4 linked regions of the Saccharomyces cerevisiae S288C genome follow. Changing the gene in region 1 together with any one later gene gives a genetic interaction. Each region holds a gene or a part of one and is shown in the gene's direction. Other genes may lie near its edges.

Region 1 (5,005 bases):
CTTTCTGTTTCGATAAACTCCTCCAGCGTAATTTTTGGCTGTTTCTCGAGCGACTCCCTCTCGAGCCTCTTTTGCTCGTTGGTTTTCAGCACAAAGCCCTCTGGTAGGGAGTGTCTGTACATACATTTGTCACCTCCGTTAGGACAAATCCAAAACCAACCGTATTTACCGTTTTCCACGGCCTCGATGAAGTATTTGCATACTTTGTCGGTGGTGGTCTTTGGGTTACCGTGCTTCGACAGGATAACTTTTCTCAGCTTTTCTTCATCCCAGTTGTCCATTGTGTCATTTTCCTTTTCACTTCTTGTATCTTGGTATAAATCTTTCTTTTCCATTCTTCTACCGACGTTCAAGTCATGTGAGAACTTACATTTGGCACCTTTGTTACAATTCCCCAGTTTGAACAGAGCACAAACCATGGACTTGGGATCTACACCCGCACGAACCCTTTGGTCTGCTACAGGGTTGAATAGTGCTCTTCGTTCAGCTTCTTCGGCTTCTCTGCGCTTTTTTTCTTCGAGTTTCTTTAACCTCATCTCTTCTTTCTTGGGGTCGGATTGTGATTGCACTTGTTTGATGTATTTTTGGACTTTGGTAGAACGGTTCTTGTTCTTCATACCGAACGTCTTGTCGACATTATCCTTCTTCTTACCAGCCGCTTGGGCCTGTTTTCCCTTTTTTGGTGGCATCTTCGAAATATAACTTTCCTGCGATTTTATATGTGTAAAGCCCAGAGGTTTACTAATAGAGTGGCTTCCCTTGCTTTCTAGAAATAGTAAAACACATTGATTAAAAAAAGATATATTGTCGATTTTCACTAACTCATCGCTGGGGAACAAAAATTTTTTCATTATCATCACAGTTCATCATGTTCGACGAGCTACGTGCCAATTCATTTCCTCCACTAGTCTCCAACTTAAGAAATACTCTCAGAGGTTGCAATCTTGTGCTGTTCAGGGTGTGATGGGCAGCATTGACTAAATTTCCTTATCCCTTGCATAGTTACATTCTTAGTTATCAGGTATTGGCGACCAATTGCATACATTTTTATTTTCTACTTTAAAACTCAGTAATGAGCAGTTACCGGCCCTTCATTATGTAGAAAAACAGGATTCACTTCTTTCTACACAAGATACAAAAAAGAAAAAAAGGATCGATTGGAGGGTAAACGAAATCGTGTGATAGGCAGGAAAAGAAACATCTATTGCTACTTTAATTGAATTTGTGCTCTACTGAAATTTTTCAACAGAAGAAGTGCTTTTACTTCTCTCAATCTCTCCATGTCTCCCTTAACTAGAACCGTAGCTATAAAGAAAACGGTTAAGGTTCTATCTAAATGTCAATCTGGTAGAGAATACACACAGAAGTTTCTCCAACGTGCATATTCAACATCACATGCCAACAGCACATACTATTCAAGGACAAAGCTATTCATATCATCACATTCTAAAGCTCTAAACATTGCTCTACTAAGCGGGTCCCTACTGTTGACCTACTCCTACTATTCCCCTAAAAAGATCCTCTCCCTTGATACAATTAACGGAATAAAAGATTATTCTACAAATACTAGTGGTAACATTAACATGCCGTCACCTAATCCAAAAGGAACAGAGACACAAAAGAGTCAACGGTCTCAGAATGACCAATCTGTTCTTATCTTGAACGATTCTAAAATAGAGGCTAAACTACATGATAGAGAGGAAAGCCATTTTGTTAACCGTGGCACTGGTATATTCAGGTATGATGTGGCACAGTTGCCCTCTAACCATCCAATAGAAGACGATCACGTAGAACAAATCATTACCATTCCGATAGAAAGTGAGGATGGCAAGTCCATAGAGAAGGATTTGTATTTTTTTGGAATTTTTGATGGACATGGTGGTCCTTTCACTTCGGAAAAATTATCTAAAGATCTAGTCCGTTATGTAGCGTATCAATTAGGTCAGGTATATGACCAGAACAAAACGGTTTTCCATTCCGACCCCAACCAATTAATCGATTCTGCAATTTCGAAAGGTTTTTTGAAACTAGATAATGATCTTGTAATCGAATCGTTCAGGAAGCTGTTTCAAGATCCAAACAACACAAATATTGCAAACACTTTACCAGCGATTTCTGGTTCTTGTGCACTATTAAGTTTATACAACTCCACTAACTCAATTTTGAAAGTGGCTGTCACTGGAGACTCAAGGGCTTTAATTTGTGGTTTGGACAACGAGGGCAATTGGACGGTAAAGTCGCTATCCACCGACCAGACCGGTGATAATTTGGATGAAGTACGGAGAATTAGGAAAGAACATCCAGGAGAACCAAACGTTATAAGAAACGGAAGAATATTGGGTTCATTACAACCATCCAGGGCATTTGGAGACTATCGCTACAAGATCAAAGAAGTCGATGGAAAACCATTATCGGATTTGCCTGAAGTTGCCAAACTTTATTTTAGAAGAGAGCCAAGGGATTTCAAGACACCCCCATATGTCACTGCGGAACCAGTGATTACTTCTGCCAAAATTGGTGAGAACACTAAATTTATGGTGATGGGTTCGGATGGTTTATTCGAATTACTAACTAATGAAGAAATTGCTTCCTTGGTTATCAGGTGGATGGATAAAAATATGAATCTGGCACCTGTGAAGGCAGAACCGGGGAAATTACCAAAAGTTATCGATGTATCTGAAGACAAGGAAGCACAAAGACCGGCATTCAGGTACAAGGATAATAATTCGAGCTCACCATCAGGATCAAACCCAGAGTATCTTATTGAAGACAAAAACGTCGCCACTCATTTAATTAGAAATGCATTAAGTGCGGGCGGAAGAAAAGAATATGTATCGGCATTGGTAAGTATACCATCGCCGATGAGTAGAAGATACAGAGATGACTTGACAGTAACAGTGGCGTTCTTTGGTGATTCTGGAACACCCTCAATTGTCTCCAATGCTACTTCAATAGTTATGAACCCGGAGGCAACAACAAAGCCAAAACCTAGATTATGACGATATAAACTTATGCTGAGGTAGGTATATACCAGAGGATTTATTTTATAGATATTAGTCTGCTGATTATCTAGTTTCTTGTCACCTCATACGTGTTTTTTTTTTTTTTGGTTTTCTCGGTTTGCATTATGGGGCTTTTTGCTAAAACAATATCCCCGAAAAGACAAAGAAAGAGAAGTGAGGTGAAAATACGAGCAGCTTATCTTATAAAAGTGGCAACGATTTTAAAAATAAAAAGCAAGATCGTCGACTTATCTAAGCTATAAAAAAATATCCCTTTTATCACACAAAAAAATGAACACATCAGTCACTTCCATAAAGTTGGTACTGTTGGGTGAGGCAGCAGTTGGTAAATCGTCAATAGTCCTAAGGTTTGTATCTAATGATTTTGCCGAAAATAAGGAGCCCACCATTGGTGCAGCATTCCTCACTCAAAGAGTTACTATAAATGAACATACTGTTAAGTTTGAAATATGGGACACTGCTGGGCAAGAGAGATTTGCATCTTTAGCACCTATGTACTATAGAAACGCACAAGCTGCTCTTGTAGTATACGACGTTACAAAACCACAATCCTTTATTAAAGCGCGCCACTGGGTTAAGGAATTACATGAACAGGCATCAAAGGATATCATCATTGCGTTAGTTGGTAACAAGATCGATATGCTGCAAGAAGGTGGGGAAAGAAAAGTCGCAAGGGAAGAAGGTGAAAAGCTAGCGGAAGAAAAGGGCTTGTTGTTCTTTGAAACAAGTGCAAAGACAGGAGAGAATGTTAACGATGTATTTTTGGGAATCGGTGAAAAGATACCACTGAAGACGGCTGAAGAGCAAAATAGTGCAAGTAACGAACGTGAGTCGAACAATCAAAGAGTGGATTTGAACGCTGCTAATGATGGGACCAGCGCAAACAGTGCTTGCAGTTGTTAGAGAGGGGAAAATAAATATATATAAAAAAAAAGTCTGGGCAAATTGAGATAAATAGATCTTCAAAACGGGAAAGATGAAAGTCATAATTTATCGTACCTAGAAAGGAGAGGGAGTTTTCATTTTTTACCGTAATCGTTGTTTTTCTTTTCTTCTTATAATTTGTAAATTTTTTAACTGCATTAGATCATTATATTATCTTTCAAAACGCCAGTCGTTTTTATTAGACCTTTATATACGTTTCAAAGTGGTTTGTACACGTTAGTTTAGTTAAACTTTTGTTTTCATGTAGACCAAAATATAAACTTATTTTATGCCGAAAATCGGGAGATGGATTAGTTAATATTGTAAATAATGATAAATTAAAGGAACATTAAATTTACAAAGTTGCAATGAGGAGCAATATATATATATATATATGGATTTCTGAGAAATTAATTAAGCAGTATTTGAACACATGTCGTTTACTCTTTCTTATCCTTTATGTCTAATTTTTCGAGTAGATCGGTAATTACAGCTGTCAAGTTTTCCACTTTCTTAGTGAGCTCTTTGACTTCATCTTTATCTTCACCAGCATCATCTTCAGTGTCATCGTTATCATACTGTTCGAAGGAGGGACTGCATTTTTTAACGTTTTTATACCACTTCTTAGGGACTTTAAAATGGACATCTTCCTGCTCTGCTGTTCTTTGCAGTTTTAGCGAACGGGAATTCTTTAACTGGGTGGCTCTCATGCCAGAATTTCGGTTATCAGAAAACAAACCGTCATCATCATCCAAGTAGCCATCTGTCAAATCCCATGGAGTATCATATTCATTGGCATCATCGTTTAACCTTTTCATCCTGTTATATTTTATCCTTCTAGCCTCCCGAGTTTCTTTAACAGAAATAAGCAACAAAAATGGGCTGTACACTATTGTCATTACAGTATAGCTCAAATCTTTAGCACGCTTCGGTGGAAGAATACGAAAGATAGGTGTCATGAACACTTCAATTAAGTTCAATGGAGAAACATAGACATCTTCATCAGGTGCTCTAATGTATCTCAACGTCTTTTGTGACATCAAAGCCATGTACTCGTC
Region 2 (7,263 bases), on another chromosome or scaffold:
CAGTCGAAAGGATGTTCTTTAGCATAGTCGAAGGCCTCGGAGATGGCCAATTTGACTTTTTCCAAAGTATCTCTGGTGACTTGATAGTGGAACGAGACTCTACCACCCATTAGCTTAACGTTGTACTTCAAACCCTTCTTAACAAGGACATCTGGGTCCATTCTAGCGGCCTTCAGGTTAATAAAGACAAAGTTGGTGTCTGCTGGAGACTCTAGCGGGATGCCCTTTGCCTCACAATATTCGGCTAATTCATGAGCCAAAGAGTGCGAGTACAGCAATTGGGACTTCCAATCGTTGTTGATGTTTACAAGAGCCATTCTAGCCATCATACCAGATTGTCTAATACCACCACCTTGTTGTTTTCTGAAATGGGTGGCCTTCTTGACAAACTTAAGGTTCCCAACCAAGACGGACCCAATAGGAGCACCCATAGACTTGGATAGACAGATGGAGATGGAGTCGAAGATTTCCCCATATTGCTTTAATGGCACGCCAGATTGTGCAGCGGCATTCCAGATTCTGGCACCGTCACAATGTAGTTTGAGACCATTTTCCATACACCAAGCTTTGATGCGGACCAGTTCTTCCAATGGATAAACAATACCGTGTAAAGTGTTTTCCAGAGAAATCAATCTGGTGGGGGCACCGTGAATATCACCGTCGTCTGGGACGTAGTGTGACTTGATGTCTTCCAAGGTCAAGTAGTCACCGTTGGAAGGAACCACAGGAACCACCATCGCTTGAGACAAGATCGCCAGTCCAGCGGCTTCGTGAGTGTAAACGTGAGCCCTGTAATCACATAGAATAGAGTATGGAGGTTGCATCAAGTGAGTTCTGATGGCAATCTGGTTGGACAAAGTCCCAGAGACACAGAACAAACCTGCTTCTTTGCCAGCCATGCGGGCAACGGTCTGTTCGAGCCTAACGGTGTCAACATCTTCACCGTAGACAGCGTCACCGATAGAGGCCTCTAAAGCGGCCTCCATCATCTCTGCAGTTGGAGTGGTGAATGTGTCTGACCGCAAGTCGTTAGCAGCGGTGATATATTTTGGAGGCAATTCGAATTCAGTCATTGTGTTTATGTTTGCGTTTGTGTGCGGGAGTAAAAGTGAGTGTAAGCCTAGGAAAGGAGGTGGTTACGAACTAGCCAGCGGAAACAATGTACGTATATGTATGTAAGTATTACTCTATACCAGACAGAACAAGATAGACGAGAAGGACACATGGAGGATTTGACAGGCAAGCTCAACACTTGCTTATATATATACACATATGTGCTATTGCAAATGCAAAAAGCGTATATCCAGTGAAGAAAAAGACGAAAAAAGACGAAGAAATAAAAAGAAAAACCGGTGAACGAATATGGCAAGTGAAAAAGTGCGCAATGAGTAATACAAAGGGCGAAGCAGCGGGAAAAAAGAAACGGCGCTGCTGCCCGGAAACCGGAAGCGAAGCTTTGTGGGGTACGGGTGCATGCTCGGCTTTTTCCAGATAGGGGAAGTGCCGTCGCCAAAAAGGCAAGGGTCCGTTTCGCGTGACATTTCATAGCGGGCCAAGCGTGGGTCACGTGCTGCACAGGCCTGCCGCTGGCATGATTTGTCAGCACATATACAACAAGAAGTATTGGTTGCGTTGAAGAAAAAAAGAATAGTAATAACAATTTGGGGCCGTGTGTAAAAAAAATAGGAAACAGCTACCCCGGCGTGCCGTGTGGCTCTCTGTGCGAAGGAAGGCCCTGTCGCCGCACATATTCGATGAATATCGATGACGACGACTACCTTCTGGTTGCATAGTTTATTAGTCTGTGCCTGTTCTTCGGCGAGTGAGTAGATGAAAGAAAGAATGAGTTAGAGAGAATTCTAGGCCAGGTTCGGCTTAGTTAAGCTTAGCTTACTTTGGGTTTACTTAGCGTGCTTTTTTTCTTCCGCGCTGAGACGGTGAGGAATGGAAGTGTAAAGAAGCGAACGAGGGAAAAAAAGTTGTGACCTAGGGGAAGGTTAAAATTGTCATCATCATCAGCGTGAGAAAGTCGAAACAATGAGCGGTAGTAGGGGCAATAGCAGCAATAGTAGCGTCAGTAATAATAGTAATAATAACAATAATAATGACGGGGGCGACGAGAGATTGCTGTTTCTAAGAAGCGTGGGCGAACGCAATGAAATTGGCTTTCCCTCTAGATTCAAGTCGGCGCATTACAAGAAACCGACAAGAAGACACAAATCAGCGAGGCAGTTGATCTCGGACGAAAACAAGCGGATCAACGCCTTGTTGACCAAGGCTAACAAAGCTGCAGAGAGTTCTACTGCTGCTAGGCGACTTGTGCCCAAAGCGACGTACTTTAGCGTGGAAGCGCCACCGTCTATCAGGCCTGCCAAGAAGTACTGCGATGTTACTGGGTTGAAGGGCTTCTACAAGTCGCCTACGAACAACATTCGGTATCACAACGCAGAAATCTATCAGTTAATCGTAAAGCCGATGGCCCCCGGCGTCGATCAGGAGTACTTAAAATTGAGAGGGGCCAACTTCGTTCTAAAATAGGCATTGTATATGTATGTATGTATTTTAGCTTGTAGACAACCTTTCACACTTACATAGTTTGTCGCTGGTCACGTGCGACAATGCAAAATAGTGTAGAGTAAAGCTAAAAAGGACAAGATAAAGTGAAAAAAAAATAATAAAAAAAAAAAAGGAATATTGTTAATGGAAAGCGTGTAAAGACACATTACGCTCCTACCTAGGACTACCAACACATGCATGGATGCCAGTCTCTGTAATAACCACGGTTTTAGCATGTCTGTGGCTCTCTTATAGGCTCTATAAGTTTCTCACTATTCCTGTGTCCAGCATCGTCTCCACTTTGAAGATCAAAACTCCACCGGCAACAAAAGTGTCTATCGACAAAATAGCCACGGATTCAGTGACCATTCATTGGGAGAACGAACCTGTAAAAGCGGAGGACAATGGCAGTGCGGATAGAAACTTCATTTCCCACTATTTGTTGTATCTGAATAACACACAATTGGCTATCTTCCCAAACAACCCAAACTCCCTTTACACATGCTGCTCCATCACGGGTCTCGAGGCGGAGACGCAGTACCAGTTAGATTTTATAACGATTAACAACAAGGGCTTTATCAATAAGCTACCCTCCATTTACTGTATGACGAAGGCGAGAGAGGCGAATGAAGCGTTAAAGACTAGAAAATGGAGAAGAAACACCATCACATCGTCCACAGCTATGCAGCCCAGAAACTCCAAGTCCGAACCCGCCCCGTTGCCCTCTCACTACTCCTCTGTTTCCCTGTCTACTTTCTCATCCAATATTACTAATAGCGCCACCAGCAATAATGGTTCAAATCTACCCGCTTACACATCTTTGACTACGTTGAAGGATTTGGATTCGTTTTCCATCGATGATCTGAAAAAGATACTGATTTGCGCCCAGGAGGACTTACACGATGTGTTGTCCCAACAAACTTCGCTTTTGCAAGATTTTCAAGAATCGAAGTTAGAATTAGAACTAGAACTGGATAACTTGAAAACACATTGGTCGCACGAAATTGACTTGCGGAAATCCTTGAAATCCAATATCAAGTCATTGGAGAATTCTAAACTATTGACCGATTTGAAAATCGAAAAATTGAACAAGAAAATCGACAAATCCAAGGAAAAAATATCGAAAATGCGCAATGATATGCAGAAATGGTCTCAGGAAGATACCGAGCTGTTGTCTAAGGATACCATAAAGGAGAAATATTTCAAATTGCTAAATGAATCCAATGCCTCTGTGGCCAATATCAACAAAGAAATTGAGTCTTTACAAAATGAAATTTCCAAGATGGAGGAGTCTAACAAGAGATTGAACGCCTCCAAAAAATCATTGATTACTTCCATAGTGGTGAATGCCAATGTGGAAAACGATAAACCTATTGCTAGCGGAGAATTGTCGGCTGTTTTGAAGAAGCTCAATGATTTTACTTTAGAAAAAAATGGATTTTTAAGTAATGCTGGTGAAGAGTTTCTATCCAAATTGAATGCAGACTCATCATTGATTAAAATGATTAAGCAAGAGCTAAGCATTGATCAAGAATTGGAGGCCAACTGGAAATTGCAGAGGTCAAATTTGTTGAAGAAAATTAGTGCTTTAGAAAACCAATTTAATGAAATGAGCCTTAATAATCGGAATTTGAAAACAAAATTAATGGTTCAACCATATAAGAATAACGGTGATTCGCTTGCTGCCACCAATTCGAATAATTCCGCGGAAAAAAACAGAAGTTCTGGATCGATTCAATTACCATTATCCAACAACATGTCAAGAACGGGGTCCATTGATTTAATATCGAATAATAACAAAAGTATTAACAACAGTAATGCTGATTCTGCTCCTCCGTTGAGGTTGCACAATCCAGTTTCGTACTCTCCTTCGAATGAACCCATACAACCTTCAAGCAGTCTATTGAGTCAATTGACACAGGACACCGATAATCGATCAATGCTCTCCAATCACATCTCATCGAACAACGAAAACAAGCAACAGCCTTCTTCATATTCACATGCTTTACCTACAACTGCTACTGCTAATGCAACAGCAACAGCAACAGCAACTAATGGTCACTCAAGGTCAAATTTATGGACCACCGCACAATTCGCTCAACCTTCGCATCAACAAGTATCTACAGAATTGGATCAAGCTTTTGAATACGATAATGCAAACCACTTAATCAGTGGTTTGCAAAATATGATCTACGACGAAACAGACTATCCTGATAACATAAGCAATTATTCCAAGGGTTTTACTACAGACGAACTTGACAATTACTGGACTAAGCAGCAACCCCAGGTGCGCAGCACAAATGAAAGTCTTTTCTCTACGACTGGAACACCTATGTCATCATATAAGGCTAACCCAGTAATATCTCCATATTCTAGTTCTCATTTGCGACAAACCTCCAACGCAACCAATACGAATCCTATGCATCCACAGAGTCTACTCGCCGCTACATTGAATGATCCTTCATTACAAAGTTTTGTACGCAGTGGTTCTTTCTACAGTGCTCCGCAACCTGCAAACTCCTTACAGAACAATATCAATGGCAATGAAACCGAGAACATTAGTCCAAGGATATCAAGTGACTTCAATTTATTGGTGCCAAACTTGAGCCCACGACTCTCAAACGATGTGCCCATTGTTCCAGGCAATAACACTACTTTAACACCTTCACACTCGAACATATTAACAATGAACCATCAACCAACGGCGGATAACATTACACGAAGATCTTTCCATGCCTCTTCACCACCTTTCAACTCCATATGGAATTCAAATACAAATCAACTTTCTCCTCCATTGGAGGAGCAGTATCACCTCGATGTGCCTGTGGGTCCAAAGGTTCCCGCTAAAGAACCAAGCCCTAAGCCTTCTCACAAGAGGAACCAAAGTAACAGCAGCATTTCTTCTGCATGGTCCAAGTTTAAGCACAAGTCTGCATCATCACCTGCTAATGCGGACACGGATATTCAAGATTCATCAACTCCATCAACTAGTCCAAGCGGTAGAAGAATGTCAAAACTGTTGTCCAAGAGCGGTATGAATAATCTATTTAACCCGCACAGTCACGACTCATGAACAATATTATAATACTTCCAGGTCGTGTATATATGTAGATATATAAATTATGAAACATAATATATGAAAGCAGTTTGAGCTTATTCTTAATCATCAATAGGGTAACGGTATTAATCTCATTTTTTCTTTTTTTTTTTCTTTTTATTTTGGCGTCTCGTCTCAATTTCATTTTTCCCATCTTTTTACAACTTCAATATGAAAAACATAACACATGAAAAATAACTGTCAACATTAATAATATTCCTTGCATAGTGCTTCGATTTTCCAAATATAAAAACAGTTTCTTTTACAAGCTTATTTAATTTTGGTTTTAAGGAGAAAGCACTAATAAAAAGGGCAAGGACTGCAATCAACAATCTTTATTGGCGAACAGTTAAGGGTCCTCTCGAGAAGAAACATTAAGACATCATCGCACAAAAAACATGGCGCCCATCTTTAGAAATTACCGGTTCGCTATCGGTGCTTTTGCCGTTATTATGCTCATTTTGTTGATTAAAACATCTTCCATCGGTCCACCTTCTATTGCACGTACAGTTACTCCTAATGCTAGTATTCCCAAAACTCCGGAGGACATCTCTATCTTGCCCGTCAATGATGAACCAGGTTACCTTCAAGATTCGAAGACTGAACAAAACTATCCTGAGCTTGCCGATGCTGTGAAGTCACAAACAAGTCAAACATGCAGCGAAGAACATAAGTATGTTATCATGATCGATGCCGGCTCTACCGGTTCCCGAGTACATATATACAAGTTTGACGTCTGTACTTCCCCACCTACATTACTTGATGAAAAATTCGACATGTTAGAGCCTGGTTTATCTTCTTTCGATACCGATTCCGTTGGTGCCGCTAACTCCCTTGACCCATTACTGAAAGTAGCAATGAACTATGTCCCTATTAAGGCAAGAAGTTGTACTCCCGTTGCGGTGAAAGCTACTGCAGGCCTAAGACTCTTGGGTGATGCCAAATCTTCAAAAATTTTGAGCGCTGTAAGGGATCATTTGGAGAAGGACTATCCTTTCCCAGTTGTCGAAGGTGATGGTGTTTCCATCATGGGCGGTGATGAAGAAGGTGTCTTCGCCTGGATTACTACAAACTACCTATTAGGTAATATCGGTGCTAATGGCCCCAAGTTACCTACTGCTGCCGTTTTTGACTTAGGCGGAGGGTCTACACAAATTGTTTTTGAGCCTACTTTCCCAATAAATGAAAAAATGGTCGATGGTGAGCATAAATTTGATTTGAAGTTTGGTGATGAAAATTACACCTTGTACCAATTTTCTCATCTAGGTTACGGTTTGAAGGAAGGAAGAAATAAAGTTAACTCTGTTCTTGTGGAAAATGCATTAAAAGACGGCAAAATATTGAAGGGTGATAACACTAAGACTCATCAATTGTCATCTCCATGCCTACCGCCTAAAGTTAATGCCACAAATGAAAAGGTTACATTAGAATCCAAGGAAACTTATACCATTGACTTTATAGGGCCGGACGAGCCAAGTGGTGCACAATGTAGATTTCTGACTGATGAAATTTTGAATAAAGATGCTCAGTGCCAGTCTCCACCATGCTCTTTCAATGGGGTTCACCAACCTTCTTTAGTTCGTACATTCAAAGAATCGAACGATATCTAT
Region 3 (5,171 bases), on another chromosome or scaffold:
AACAAGTTCAACGATGACAAAACTTTCACCAATAACTCATGGTCACAGGCAACAGGAATACTGATAAATGTTATCAATGATTTCGAGAGACAATGGTTGAGAATATTTAACTGGGAATTGTATGATAGTGCTTTTCTTTATTTTGAGTTCGTCAAGAATTTTGAGATTTTCAAGCAAAATCAACTCAAACCTGCTGTAGCGGTTCCTACGTTATTATCTCCAATTGTCAACGTTGGTGATACGAGAAACGTAAATTTCAACTTGAAGCCTACTTCCACAAACAACCTATTATCTCCAGTTTCCAATTATGAAACCCCCATGCTGATGCCGCATAACATGTTTTCATCACCATCTTATCAGAGTAACTCAAGGTCTGAATTTTCTAGTATGAATGGTTATTATAACTATTACAACTATAATCAGCCAAGATTGAATTACTATCAACAATTCCCCAATATATATTCTTCACCAATTTCGGAAACTCAGTTTGATTACGACTTCTACAATTTCAGTAGTCAACAACAACAGCAACAACAAAAACAACACTCACTTTTACCTGCCGCTCCACAATTACCTCCCCCTCACGTCCATAATCAGTCTTACGGTCATCATCTTGGCTGGAAGTCAATGGATGACACAATAAATCATTCAAGATTTGAGCGAAACTACTTTCCGTATTCGGCAGTGTATTAGTGAAAACTTTTTTTTCCTTATTTTTTCTTTGATCCCATCGAATTACTTTCTCTTTTGCCCAGGATCATCTTTCTAATCTATCATTTTATTATTTTCTCTCATGAGAAAACAGAATTTCGAAACAGATATAATAAAAAAATTGAAAAATTTGAAAAAAAAAAATCTAGAAACATATTTTCCTAAAATGAAAATCGGAAGCTAACAAAATTTTTGAAAAACGAAATAAAGAAGAAAGATTATTATTATTACTTTTTTTATTAGTACTCCATATGGACCTCTTAGGTGAGTGATCTTATTAAAAAAAATAAAAAAAATAAAAAAATATGAAAAAAAAAGAAAATTAAAAACTAAACAAATTTTATGACAGGAATAAAAACTATAAAAAATGAAAACCAAAAAAAAAAAGCACTGGATTTTTAACATCTTGTCCTTTTCTTTCCCTTTATCATTTTTTCTCATTTACTTTGTTATTAATTTTTTTTTTCAAGTTCTCCACATATACATATGTAAGAATTGAGTCTATCTCTTTCTAATATTTAAGAAATACATAAAAAAACCAATTTTTTTTTTTTATTACTAGCAAATTTATTTTTGTGAAGTGAAATTCATACATTGGCTTATTAAAGGTATTAAATATTACTGAAATTTTATGAACCAAAAAGAATAATGGATGATTGTAAGGTTACATGCAATATATCAAGATATTACTAGAGATTATTTACCGCCAGCTTCTCTAAACCACCTGATGCTTCTATCTAAACAAACACAGCATAAACTTTCATTTAAATCAGCTCCCATACCAGATCTCCAACCTTTTTTCAAAAACTTCACGTCAAAGACACCAGGTTCAGCTAAAGAATCTCCATGTTCATCAACAGCTAAGATATCCTCTTCAATTTCAATATCATCACAATGCATATTCAATGTAGTGATTCTTTCCTTTGTTTTTACATCCCAAAATCTCAATTTACCATCCCATCCGGCACTGCATAATGTTTCACCAGAATCATTAAACGATAGACTCATGACCCAGCTAGAATGTGCAAATTCACCCAGACTTGCCTGCGAGCTATGGGTTGGTACGGATAAGGAGCCTATTCTTTCACCAAATTCAGTTTCATATAGAGTGATGCAACCAAATGAATTTGAATCGTGAGCAATGGCTAATAAGGATCCTTGAGGAGAAAATTTCACCGATCTGATGGAATTCGAATTATTAATCATAGAATGCTGAGATTCAAAATTGTACAACGGGCGTAATGTAGATAGTTCTGAAATTTGTACTGTTCCATTATTAAAACCTGTGGCAATTAGTCCTCGTTCAGAGATATCCACAGAAGTGGCAAATTGACTTGGAGTCATAGGCGATTCGACAGTGCCTTGTAATTCTAACGTGGGGCTCCAATTTAGTGTTAAAGAATTTGACTCATCTGCAAACGGGTGAAACTTCCAAATGTAAGTGGTCCCTTTGACGTCTGTAGCAACCAGCCTATGGGAAAGTAGTCTGTCATTTGAGGCACCCCATTTTAATGCCCAAAAGGAATGCTTTTTCATGTCTGAGTCTAGAAGATCCAATTTCTCGAATATAACTTTTTTAGTCTCATCTTCTCTAGTGATACGATAGAAGAGTAAATCGCCAGAAAATGAAGTGGTAGCAACAAGGCATAATTCAAATGCATCTCTCTCAATAGCTTGCAAGACATCGACATGGTGCAATCCGGACTTATGGACAAAGTGAGAATATGACTTATCTTTTGGATTTTCATTATCTAACAGCTTATTATCCCACACCTTTAAGTAACCGTCACCTGAACAACTTACCGTAAATGAATTGCAAGCAGAAACCGAGAAAATATCAGCGTCATGAGCTTTACCTGCATTTGCTGTGGCAATAAACACTTTGGACATTTTTCCAATACTTGATTAACCTCTTTTTCGTTTCTTGTCTTTATTTTAGATTTGTTTTAATATCGCCTAATTTTTCCTTCTTTACTTTATATTTTTTTTATTTTTCGCCTAAAGATTTGTATCAATTAATTAGCCAACAAAAACAAAAACAATAAAGTCATATAAGGGTTGATAATTGATATTGATGGCAGCTAATTCTGTAGGGAAAATGAGTGAAAAGTTAAGAATCAAGGTGGACGATGTTAAAATCAACCCCAAGTATGTTTTATACGGTGTTAGTACACCAAACAAGCGCCTTTACAAAAGGTATTCCGAGTTTTGGAAACTGAAGACACGATTGGAGAGAGATGTAGGAAGCACCATCCCATATGACTTCCCTGAAAAGCCCGGTGTATTGGACAGGAGGTGGCAAAGAAGATATGATGATCCGGAAATGATCGATGAAAGACGGATCGGACTAGAGAGGTTCCTCAATGAATTGTATAACGATCGTTTTGATTCTCGATGGAGAGACACAAAAATAGCGCAAGACTTCCTGCAGTTGTCAAAGCCAAATGTTTCTCAAGAAAAGTCACAGCAGCATCTAGAAACTGCTGACGAAGTGGGATGGGATGAGATGATAAGAGATATTAAATTGGATTTAGATAAGGAGAGTGATGGCACACCCAGCGTGCGTGGAGCACTAAGGGCACGTACGAAGCTCCACAAGTTACGAGAGCGACTAGAACAGGATGTGCAAAAGAAGTCTCTTCCAAGCACGGAAGTGACTCGTCGCGCCGCTCTATTGAGGTCCTTGCTCAAGGAATGCGATGACATTGGTACAGCAAACATAGCTCAGGACCGTGGACGACTTCTGGGGGTTGCCACCAGTGACAACTCTTCAACCACGGAAGTTCAAGGAAGAACGAATAACGATTTGCAACAGGGGCAGATGCAAATGGTGCGCGATCAAGAACAAGAGTTGGTTGCACTGCACCGAATTATCCAGGCACAACGTGGATTGGCCTTAGAGATGAACGAGGAGCTGCAAACACAGAATGAGCTACTTACAGCACTTGAAGATGACGTCGATAACACTGGTAGGAGGTTACAGATAGCCAACAAGAAGGCTAGACATTTTAACAACAGTGCTTGAATTAATGAGTTACTATCCGGGTTACAAATCCTGAGAGTATATTTGTACTAAAAAAAAAAATTGTAAATCTAGTAATTGAAAAATTTTGGCGATGAGACGATATGGTAAGAGTAAAGCAAAGGAACCGTCATGTCGTTTACTGCTCCTTCAGATCCCGTCAATAAACCGACAAAAGTGAAGGTATCACAGTTGTGTGAACTATGTCATTCAAGAAAGGCTCTCATTAGAAGACCCAAAAACCTGTCTAAACTTTGCAAACAATGCTTCTGCCTCGTGTTCGAGACGGAGATCCATAACACTATTGTAGCAAATAACTTGTTTCAGAGGGGAGAAAAAGTAGCCGTGGGGGCCTCTGGTGGTAAAGACTCCACGGTGTTAGCGCATATGCTGAAGCTTCTGAATGACCGTTACGATTACGGCATTGAGATTGTACTGTTGAGTATTGACGAAGGAATCATCGGATACAGAGATGATTCCTTGGCCACGGTGAAAAGGAATCAGCAGCAGTATGGCCTTCCTTTGGAGATTTTTTCCTTTAAGGACCTCTATGATTGGACAATGGATGAGATTGTATCCGTTGCTGGTATAAGGAACAGTTGCACGTATTGTGGTGTTTTTAGAAGACAATCATTGGACCGTGGTGCTGCAAAGCTGGGCATATCTCACGTTGTCACCGGCCACAATGCAGACGATATGGCAGAGACAGTACTAATGAATATCCTACGTGGTGACGTAGCAAGATTGGAAAAATCGACTGCGATTATCACACAAAGTAGCGGCTCTCCCATCAAGAGATCAAAACCATTTAAATATTCTTACCAAAAGGAAATTGTCCTGTATGCGCACTACATGAAGCTGGATTATTTTTCCACTGAGTGTACCTATGCCCCAGAAGCGTTTAGGGGCACTGCGAGAGAATACATGAAGAATCTGGAAGCAGTGAGGCCCAGTTGCATTATAGACATCATCCAAAGTGGCGAAAATTTGGCATTAAAGGCTAAAAAATCTAACGCTGGAAAGAGAGTCGTCAAATTTGTTGACGGCAATAGATGCGCTAGATGTGGATATCTGTCGTCAAATAACATTTGCAAGGCGTGCATGTTGCTGGAAGGACTGGAGAAAAGTAGAGCCCAAGTGGCAATCGAGAATGACACTTCTGCCGATGGTGCAGCCTTGAAGCTGAGAGCTCTTGAGAAACTCAGCTTTTGACATATATATAGCTCGCAGTAGAAGAATGCAGCGTAACATAATATAATATAATATAGTACGGCGCGCCCTCCATTAGAACGCGCAACACAATAAAGACAAATAAAAGAATCAGCTATAAAGCTGGCCATTGCATGGTTCGCGCTGGAAAGAGAGGAAAAGCGTGGTGATAAAGAGCGAACCAAGCATATTGTTTTCCAAGAATGAGCAACGAAGATTACGGATACGA
Region 4 (7,107 bases), on another chromosome or scaffold:
ACAGGTAGAATTTGTAAGGATTCGACGTAGCCTGGACACATTGTGCATTTATCGTATCCCCTACTGCTACACGTATAAGAAGTCGTTGCTTTACCTCTATTCCAGAACTCAATCTTGTCGTTACTTGCCCTTATTAAAAAAATCCTTCTCTTGTCTCATGCCAATAAGATCAATCAGCTCAGCTTCACAAATGAACGTGTTCGGTAAAAAAGAAGAAAAGCAAGAAAAAGTTTACTCTCTACAAAACGGTTTTCCGTACTCTCATCACCCATACGCTTCTCAATACTCAAGACCAGACGGCCCTATCTTACTGCAAGACTTCCATCTGCTGGAAAATATTGCAAGTTTCGATAGAGAAAGAGTTCCGGAGCGTGTAGTCCATGCCAAAGGTGGTGGTTGTAGACTGGAGTTCGAACTAACAGATTCTTTGAGTGATATTACATACGCCGCTCCATACCAGAATGTGGGTTACAAATGTCCTGGTCTTGTTCGTTTTTCCACCGTTGGTGGTGAAAGTGGTACACCAGACACTGCAAGAGACCCAAGAGGTGTTTCTTTTAAATTCTATACCGAGTGGGGGAACCATGACTGGGTCTTCAACAATACTCCCGTCTTCTTCCTCAGAGACGCTATTAAGTTTCCCGTATTTATTCATTCGCAAAAGAGAGACCCTCAGTCTCATCTGAATCAGTTTCAGGACACTACCATATACTGGGATTATCTAACATTGAATCCGGAATCAATCCATCAAATAACTTACATGTTTGGTGATAGAGGTACTCCTGCTTCGTGGGCTAGTATGAACGCGTACTCTGGTCATTCCTTCATCATGGTCAACAAAGAAGGTAAGGACACATATGTGCAATTCCACGTCTTGTCGGATACTGGTTTTGAAACCTTGACTGGAGATAAGGCTGCTGAACTGTCAGGCTCCCACCCTGATTATAATCAGGCAAAGCTGTTCACTCAATTGCAAAATGGCGAAAAGCCAAAATTTAACTGTTATGTGCAAACAATGACACCCGAACAAGCAACTAAGTTCAGGTATTCGGTAAATGACCTAACGAAAATATGGCCACACAAGGAATTCCCTTTGAGAAAATTTGGTACCATCACCCTAACGGAGAATGTTGACAATTATTTCCAAGAAATTGAACAAGTTGCATTCAGTCCAACGAACACTTGTATCCCAGGTATTAAGCCTTCTAATGATTCCGTTCTACAAGCCAGACTTTTCTCCTATCCAGACACTCAACGTCATAGATTGGGAGCCAACTATCAGCAATTGCCCGTCAACAGACCAAGAAACTTGGGATGTCCATACTCCAAAGGTGATTCCCAATACACTGCCGAACAGTGTCCATTTAAAGCAGTGAACTTCCAAAGGGACGGCCCAATGAGTTACTACAATTTCGGTCCTGAGCCAAATTATATTTCCAGTTTACCAAATCAAACTCTGAAATTCAAAAATGAAGACAACGACGAAGTATCTGATAAGTTCAAAGGGATAGTTCTTGACGAAGTAACAGAAGTTTCTGTGAGAAAACAGGAACAAGACCAAATCAGAAACGAGCATATTGTTGATGCCAAAATTAATCAATATTACTACGTTTATGGTATTAGTCCACTAGACTTCGAACAGCCAAGAGCTCTATATGAAAAGGTATACAACGATGAACAGAAGAAATTATTCGTTCATAACGTTGTTTGCCACGCTTGTAAGATCAAAGATCCTAAAGTCAAAAAGAGAGTTACGCAATACTTTGGTTTGCTAAACGAAGATTTGGGTAAAGTCATTGCAGAATGCTTGGGAGTTCCTTGGGAACCTGTTGACCTTGAAGGTTATGCCAAGACTTGGTCCATTGCAAGTGCCAATTAAGGCAGCACTATTTATTCATAATTATTCGTAATTATATCTCCATAATTATTTATTCATAAGTTTTCTTTAAGTTTATTCTCTACATCACTAGTTATTACAAATTGGTCGTATGTACAAGCACTAATATTTCATACTTATCGTACTTCATACATAGCAAATCCTGTTAGGAAAAATATGGCAGCAAAACAGATTGGCTGCCTACTTTTGACACATTTTTTTCTAATTCGGTACTTAGATCGGCATGAACTCAACGATTATCGCATTATACGGACAATCTGAAAAAAAAAAGTAGCCTAACTTATGCAGTTGTGTGTTTATAACGTTGAATTCCTAAACCTCTTGAAGGTGTAATATAACAAGTAACATAACTAGGTTTTCACAACTCGTTAGTTTCTATTAAAAGAGGAATAAACAAATTTTATTAGGACTAAGAGGATTATACAGAGTACCAGCAGAGAAAACTTTAAATTCTTTCTGTTATAATAATATCTTACCAAAGTTTTTTGTTTTCTATCTCCACATTTTTCGTACCATCTCTTTAGGTAATCACTCTGAATAACTTTTATTCATATACACCCCAATATTTTTTAAGATTCCACCTATCTCCGTTACATAAAAGGATCCATGCACAATTTTCATGGAGGAACAATTTACTAATCAGAAGAAAGTATCACATCTACAGTCATTAATGAACACTAAAAGGAGTGAACAGCCCACCGAATTTGCCAAAAAACATAGGTTTAAAGATACGCTTGCATTGTTCCTGGTTTTTTTGAGTTTTAACCACTTCACTTCCCTATGTTTATTGGTTTCCTTTATTGTTGCTACCAAATGCAAAGATTTTCTGGCAAATTGTTTTATTATACTTTTCCTATCGAAAAAACCTTCCCGCCATATCGGTGAAGTGGCGCACATAGATATAAGTACTTCCAAAGTGACCAATGGTAGTTCAAACCGAAAATCTAATTCACGATTTTTTGGCAATTCAAAAAATAGCTTCGTCATTCCGATCCCCGTATTAATTTGTGAAATTTTATTTGCAATGTTACTAAAGATTTACGGTGGCGATTATTTTGTTAAGCCAATAAAAAATCTGGCAATTTCTATTATTGCCTCATTTTTGATCAATGATCCAAGCGATTGCTTAAGCTATGCAACTTCATGCTCAGTATTGTATGCTGTGTCAACTAACACTTTTCAAAGAGTGTCACACTTCTTTGACATTATACAGTTATTTGATATGTCTTTACGAGGAACCGGCCAATCAATTAAATTATTCACGGTTTTTCGCAAGTATTCACAGTTTTTCAAAAAGCTTTTCTCTCTATTTTTGCCAATGCCTTTCAAGATGCTTGGCAAACATTCAGACAGTATGATTTATTATCTATCCTTTCACATCCTTTTTTTCTCATTTGCTTCAAGTTTATTACACCCTCATAGACAAACAGCGGAAAACAAGCCATTGAAAAAGGGTTTCAATTCAACTAAACCAGATGTAGCCCGTGTTCAAGGTCTGCAAAAGATGAGAATTTCTTCTTCTTCTTCCGTTTCTGCCGATTCGAACACTTTAGAGGACCAAAGTCCTATGATACCGAACGATCCAGGTGGACTTAGCAGCAGCAATCAAACTATCCATCCATCCCAACAAAATAACTCGCCAGTTCCCCTATCATCACACAGTAATATTTTGAACCCTGCCGCCTCTTATCCTACTGATGCTACTTCTAGTTTTCCCTATTTCACTTCTATGGTCAAGGAATATAAGTCATATCAGCCATCGGTAATCTCTGCTGAAGGAAGCAATTCTCAAGCCGTTACTACTACTACCAGTACAACAACCTCTCCTACAACGTTCAACTTTTCTGGTGATAACACTAGTTTGTCAAATGAAATCTCTCTATCTGATTCCTCGAATGGAAATTCGAAAAAGGATTCTGATTTCTTTTCCCCTTCCAATGACAAGTATACTAACCAACTGTTTGAACTGAATGTTGATTTTGGGAACATGTTTTCTTCTAGCAAATTATCTTCAGACATATCTGTTACATCAAACTTGGAAAATTTTATCCGTCTTCTATTCAGAAGAAAGAATCAACACTTGATTGCACCTCTTTGGTCTATGGTAGTTACATTAAAAACAACGAATTTTGAAAAAAAATACTTACAAGAAACCTCTGAAAATTCACTAACACCAACAAATTCGAATACTTCATACGTCAGTAATCAGGAAAAACATGACAAAGATTTGGACACGATTAATACACATTCAGTTTCATCAAGAATTAGTTTCACCCATGCCGGAAAGTTTAAGAAGAGCGTGTTTAACAATTTCGAACCTTCAAATACTATGGCCCTGATTGCAAAGACAACATCTGATGACTACAATCTTTTAAATTTAGTTTCCACCAATGAAAATATTTTCAATAGAAATGATAATGACTACAAAGTTTGCATTATTGATATTAGCACAAACTCTATTACATTCCATATTGAAAATTTACATGATGGCGAACTCATTGTTTTAGTAAACGGTGTTATCTGGTCAGAAGTTTCTTGCGCTTTAATTTTAGAGCATGTAGGCGAAGAATACGTTGTCGTTAACGGATTAGTCCCTTCTTGTTCTTATGATATTCAATTCATCAACAGACTAAATCACCGAGATGATTATTTGGTTTCTGATTTAATTGTAAGGACTTGTGGGAATAACAATGCGATTGCCGGAAAATTTGAAAACCTTGATTTCAGCTTCCCTTCATACTACCATAGGAAATTCTTATCTCCGTTGCTAACTCTGAAGCATTCCGTGCTAACTACAAACGCAAATTTGTCCGATGAAAGGACAAAATTGAAAAAGACAAAAAAGGAATTCAGCAAGAAGTTAAGTCTTTTGAGACAAGAAATTGATTATTTTAAAGGCAGGATTTCACAGAACGCAACACATGACGAAAAGAGCACTTTAAAAGTCGAAAATTTGAAGGTTGCCCTACAGCAAAGTGAGACTGCGGTAAATAAGTTAGAGATGCAATTGAAAACTCTCACTGAAAAAGAGCTTGAATTAGAAGAGGAATACTTGAAAAAGAAAGATCTACACTTGAAAAATCAATTAGAGTTCAGTAAGTTAGAAGAAAGCTTATCGAAAGACCTGAAAAACTCAGAAGGGAGGTTCCAAAAGGTCAATCAAGAATTAGTTCAACTAGGCTCTAAACTGGACAAATTGAACGCGAGAAACGAGAAGTTACAAAAGGAGGTCGATCAGAACGCAGAAGAGATAGAAAAGTTCAGTACTCAATTTTTGAGTAAAAGAGAAAAGGATAGATTTAGAAGAAAGGAGTACAGGATACGCGAAGCCAATAAATTTGAATTGACTATAAAGGGGTTAGAGCAAGATATCAACAGATTAGAAAATGAGAATGAAAATATACATAGTCTAATTGGTAATAGTTACTGATGGAAGATTAGAAAACAAAGATAGATAAGAATTCGTTTTGTAGCATCCTAAAATTTACTTCTATTGAATATATACATGTATTTATTACTTGGACGTTCTACTTTAAATGTAGTCAGTCGTTTTTTTCTCGATATTGTTTTTTTATTGTTTCCTAATAACTTCATTTGTTACTTTTTTGCCTTTTGTTATTTATGGAAATAATGCAGGTTAACATAAGTAAACATAAAATATGAGAAAAACTAAGAATGTTTGCTGATGTATTGAACAGTTCACATCGTTGTGTCTACTATTAACACTAAGTTGTTGATCAAAACATTCCCTAATTAATAGCTGCCCCAGGACTTGGAAGGCCACACTACTCTCCATGACATCAAAGATACGGCCCAAATAATCTGTATCCTCGATATGAACTTAGGACCACATATTTGGAGCTTGTCCAAAATACTAAAATGGCAGATAACAATTAGATGGTTCCAATTCAAATACATTACAAGCTACGAAAACTAATATTCTATAATTTATACTAAGTTCATGGAAAGAATTGCAATGGATTGAGGTTTCTAACGAGGTTATCACTACCGCAAATATAGAGAGTAAGTTGGTAATATACAACAATAGAATTTAATCAATAACCAATCTCAACATTATTGTATCGTATTTTAACTTATAATTGTGCTCATATCAAGTTTTCTAGGTTACAATTACGACCAATTCTCAGGTTGTTTTGCAAAATTGGCGAAGAGATGGAGGCCTACCACATATTATCACGATTTGATAGGGATAATCTGAGTAACGATTAGTTATTGACGAATCCCTTTAATATAGTTTCCACACGAGAATAGGCGCCTACTAAAGAATTGATGAATCTGCTGGTAATTTCTAGGTTTCCATTATTCGGTAAAATATACGGAATGTATTAGGGGTTCTTCATGACGATCAAAGATCCATGAATGGAGATCGGTATTTTTAAGTAATAGTGCTACTATTTTTTTCCTTTTTGCATTCTGTCGTTCAATATCCTGTTACATTATTAATCTTAGTTTCGGATTCCACTGAAATCAATAACTATATCCCATGGCTTGGGCCTTAATTCTTGTGTCATATACAATAATATGCTAGTGCCGTGAACACTAGCCAATGAAGAAATGATCGTTTTCCAACACATACCGGACGTGGCTCTGATAGTGCTCGACGATGGAAATTTCAGCATGCATACTGATGTATGTCAAGATAACAACTACAGTCCTATCGTCGTGATTATAGGGAATCGACCGCGCCACTGCTATGACAACGGAAAGTTTATCCATGGCCTGCTGATTTTGATGCTGCTGTGGACACGAGAATACCAACACCTGTTCACATCTTCATGTGGATGAACGTAACGAAGTGGATATTTAGGCTCGGTAGCGAATCTTTTGCCGTACCTCCAAATTTATCTTGTATCGATTTTTCCGTCTAGTTGAAACTGTTATTATCCGCCCCTCCAATTTTCTGTAAAGCATAGGTGCTTCTTCAAAGTATCCAATGTATTTCTTAAGCTTATCAAGAAATAACATACTTCGAATACGTCCCAAGTTTTCTGATAACTTTATCATATTCTTTTGGCTAATTGGCGATCGTTTATATACCCCAGTGATTTTGGTTATAAATTTATAATATAGTTCAAACTATCCTTCCTTTAGAACAACTGTAAGCTTTAATTTTGAGCAAGCGCTACCATTTGATATATAGCAAACTAACCAAAATGCTAAGACATCTTCTAGTCTAAAAGTAACTCTTT

The links.
Region 2: mutations in VPS21 (region 1) and GTA1 together harm fitness more than expected from each alone (negative genetic interaction), as found in Saccharomyces cerevisiae (3 studies listed by BioGRID).
Region 3: mutations in VPS21 (region 1) and VAM7 together harm fitness more than expected from each alone (negative genetic interaction), as found in Saccharomyces cerevisiae (3 studies listed by BioGRID).
Region 4: mutations in VPS21 (region 1) and NNF2 together harm fitness more than expected from each alone (negative genetic interaction), as found in Saccharomyces cerevisiae (3 studies listed by BioGRID).

The regions. Positions count from the first base shown.
Region 1 is NC_001147.6:489,117-494,121, reverse strand, and holds VPS21 (Rab family GTPase VPS21), read left to right. Parts: upstream 1-3,293; coding exon 3,294-3,926; downstream 3,927-5,005. Other genes in the region: translation machinery-associated protein TMA46, read right to left, coding at 1-689; type 2C protein phosphatase PTC5, read left to right, coding at 1,281-2,999; YVC1 (Yvc1p), read right to left, coding at 4,388-5,005.
Region 2 is NC_001137.3:67,720-74,982, forward strand, and holds GTA1 (Gta1p), read left to right. Parts: upstream 1-2,758; coding exon 2,759-5,629; downstream 5,630-7,263. Other genes in the region: threonine aldolase GLY1, read right to left, coding at 1-1,073; IES6 (Ies6p), read left to right, coding at 2,038-2,538; GDA1 (guanosine diphosphatase), read left to right, coding at 6,052-7,263.
Region 3 is NC_001139.9:88,647-93,817, forward strand, and holds VAM7 (Vam7p), read left to right. Parts: upstream 1-2,785; coding exon 2,786-3,736; downstream 3,737-5,171. Other genes in the region: CLG1 (Clg1p), read left to right, coding at 1-693; SKI complex subunit WD repeat protein SKI8, read right to left, coding at 1,408-2,601; NCS6 (Ncs6p), read left to right, coding at 3,866-4,945; Rab family GTPase YPT32, read left to right, coding at 5,146-5,171. UniProt on the Saccharomyces cerevisiae protein: Essential for proper morphogenesis of the vacuole. May exist as structural reinforcement on the surface of the vacuolar membrane and be required for maintenance against rupture by osmotic pressure.
Region 4 is NC_001139.9:654,444-661,550, forward strand, and holds NNF2 (Nnf2p), read left to right. Parts: upstream 1-2,516; coding exon 2,517-5,327; downstream 5,328-7,107. Other genes in the region: CTT1 (catalase T), read left to right, coding at 191-1,879.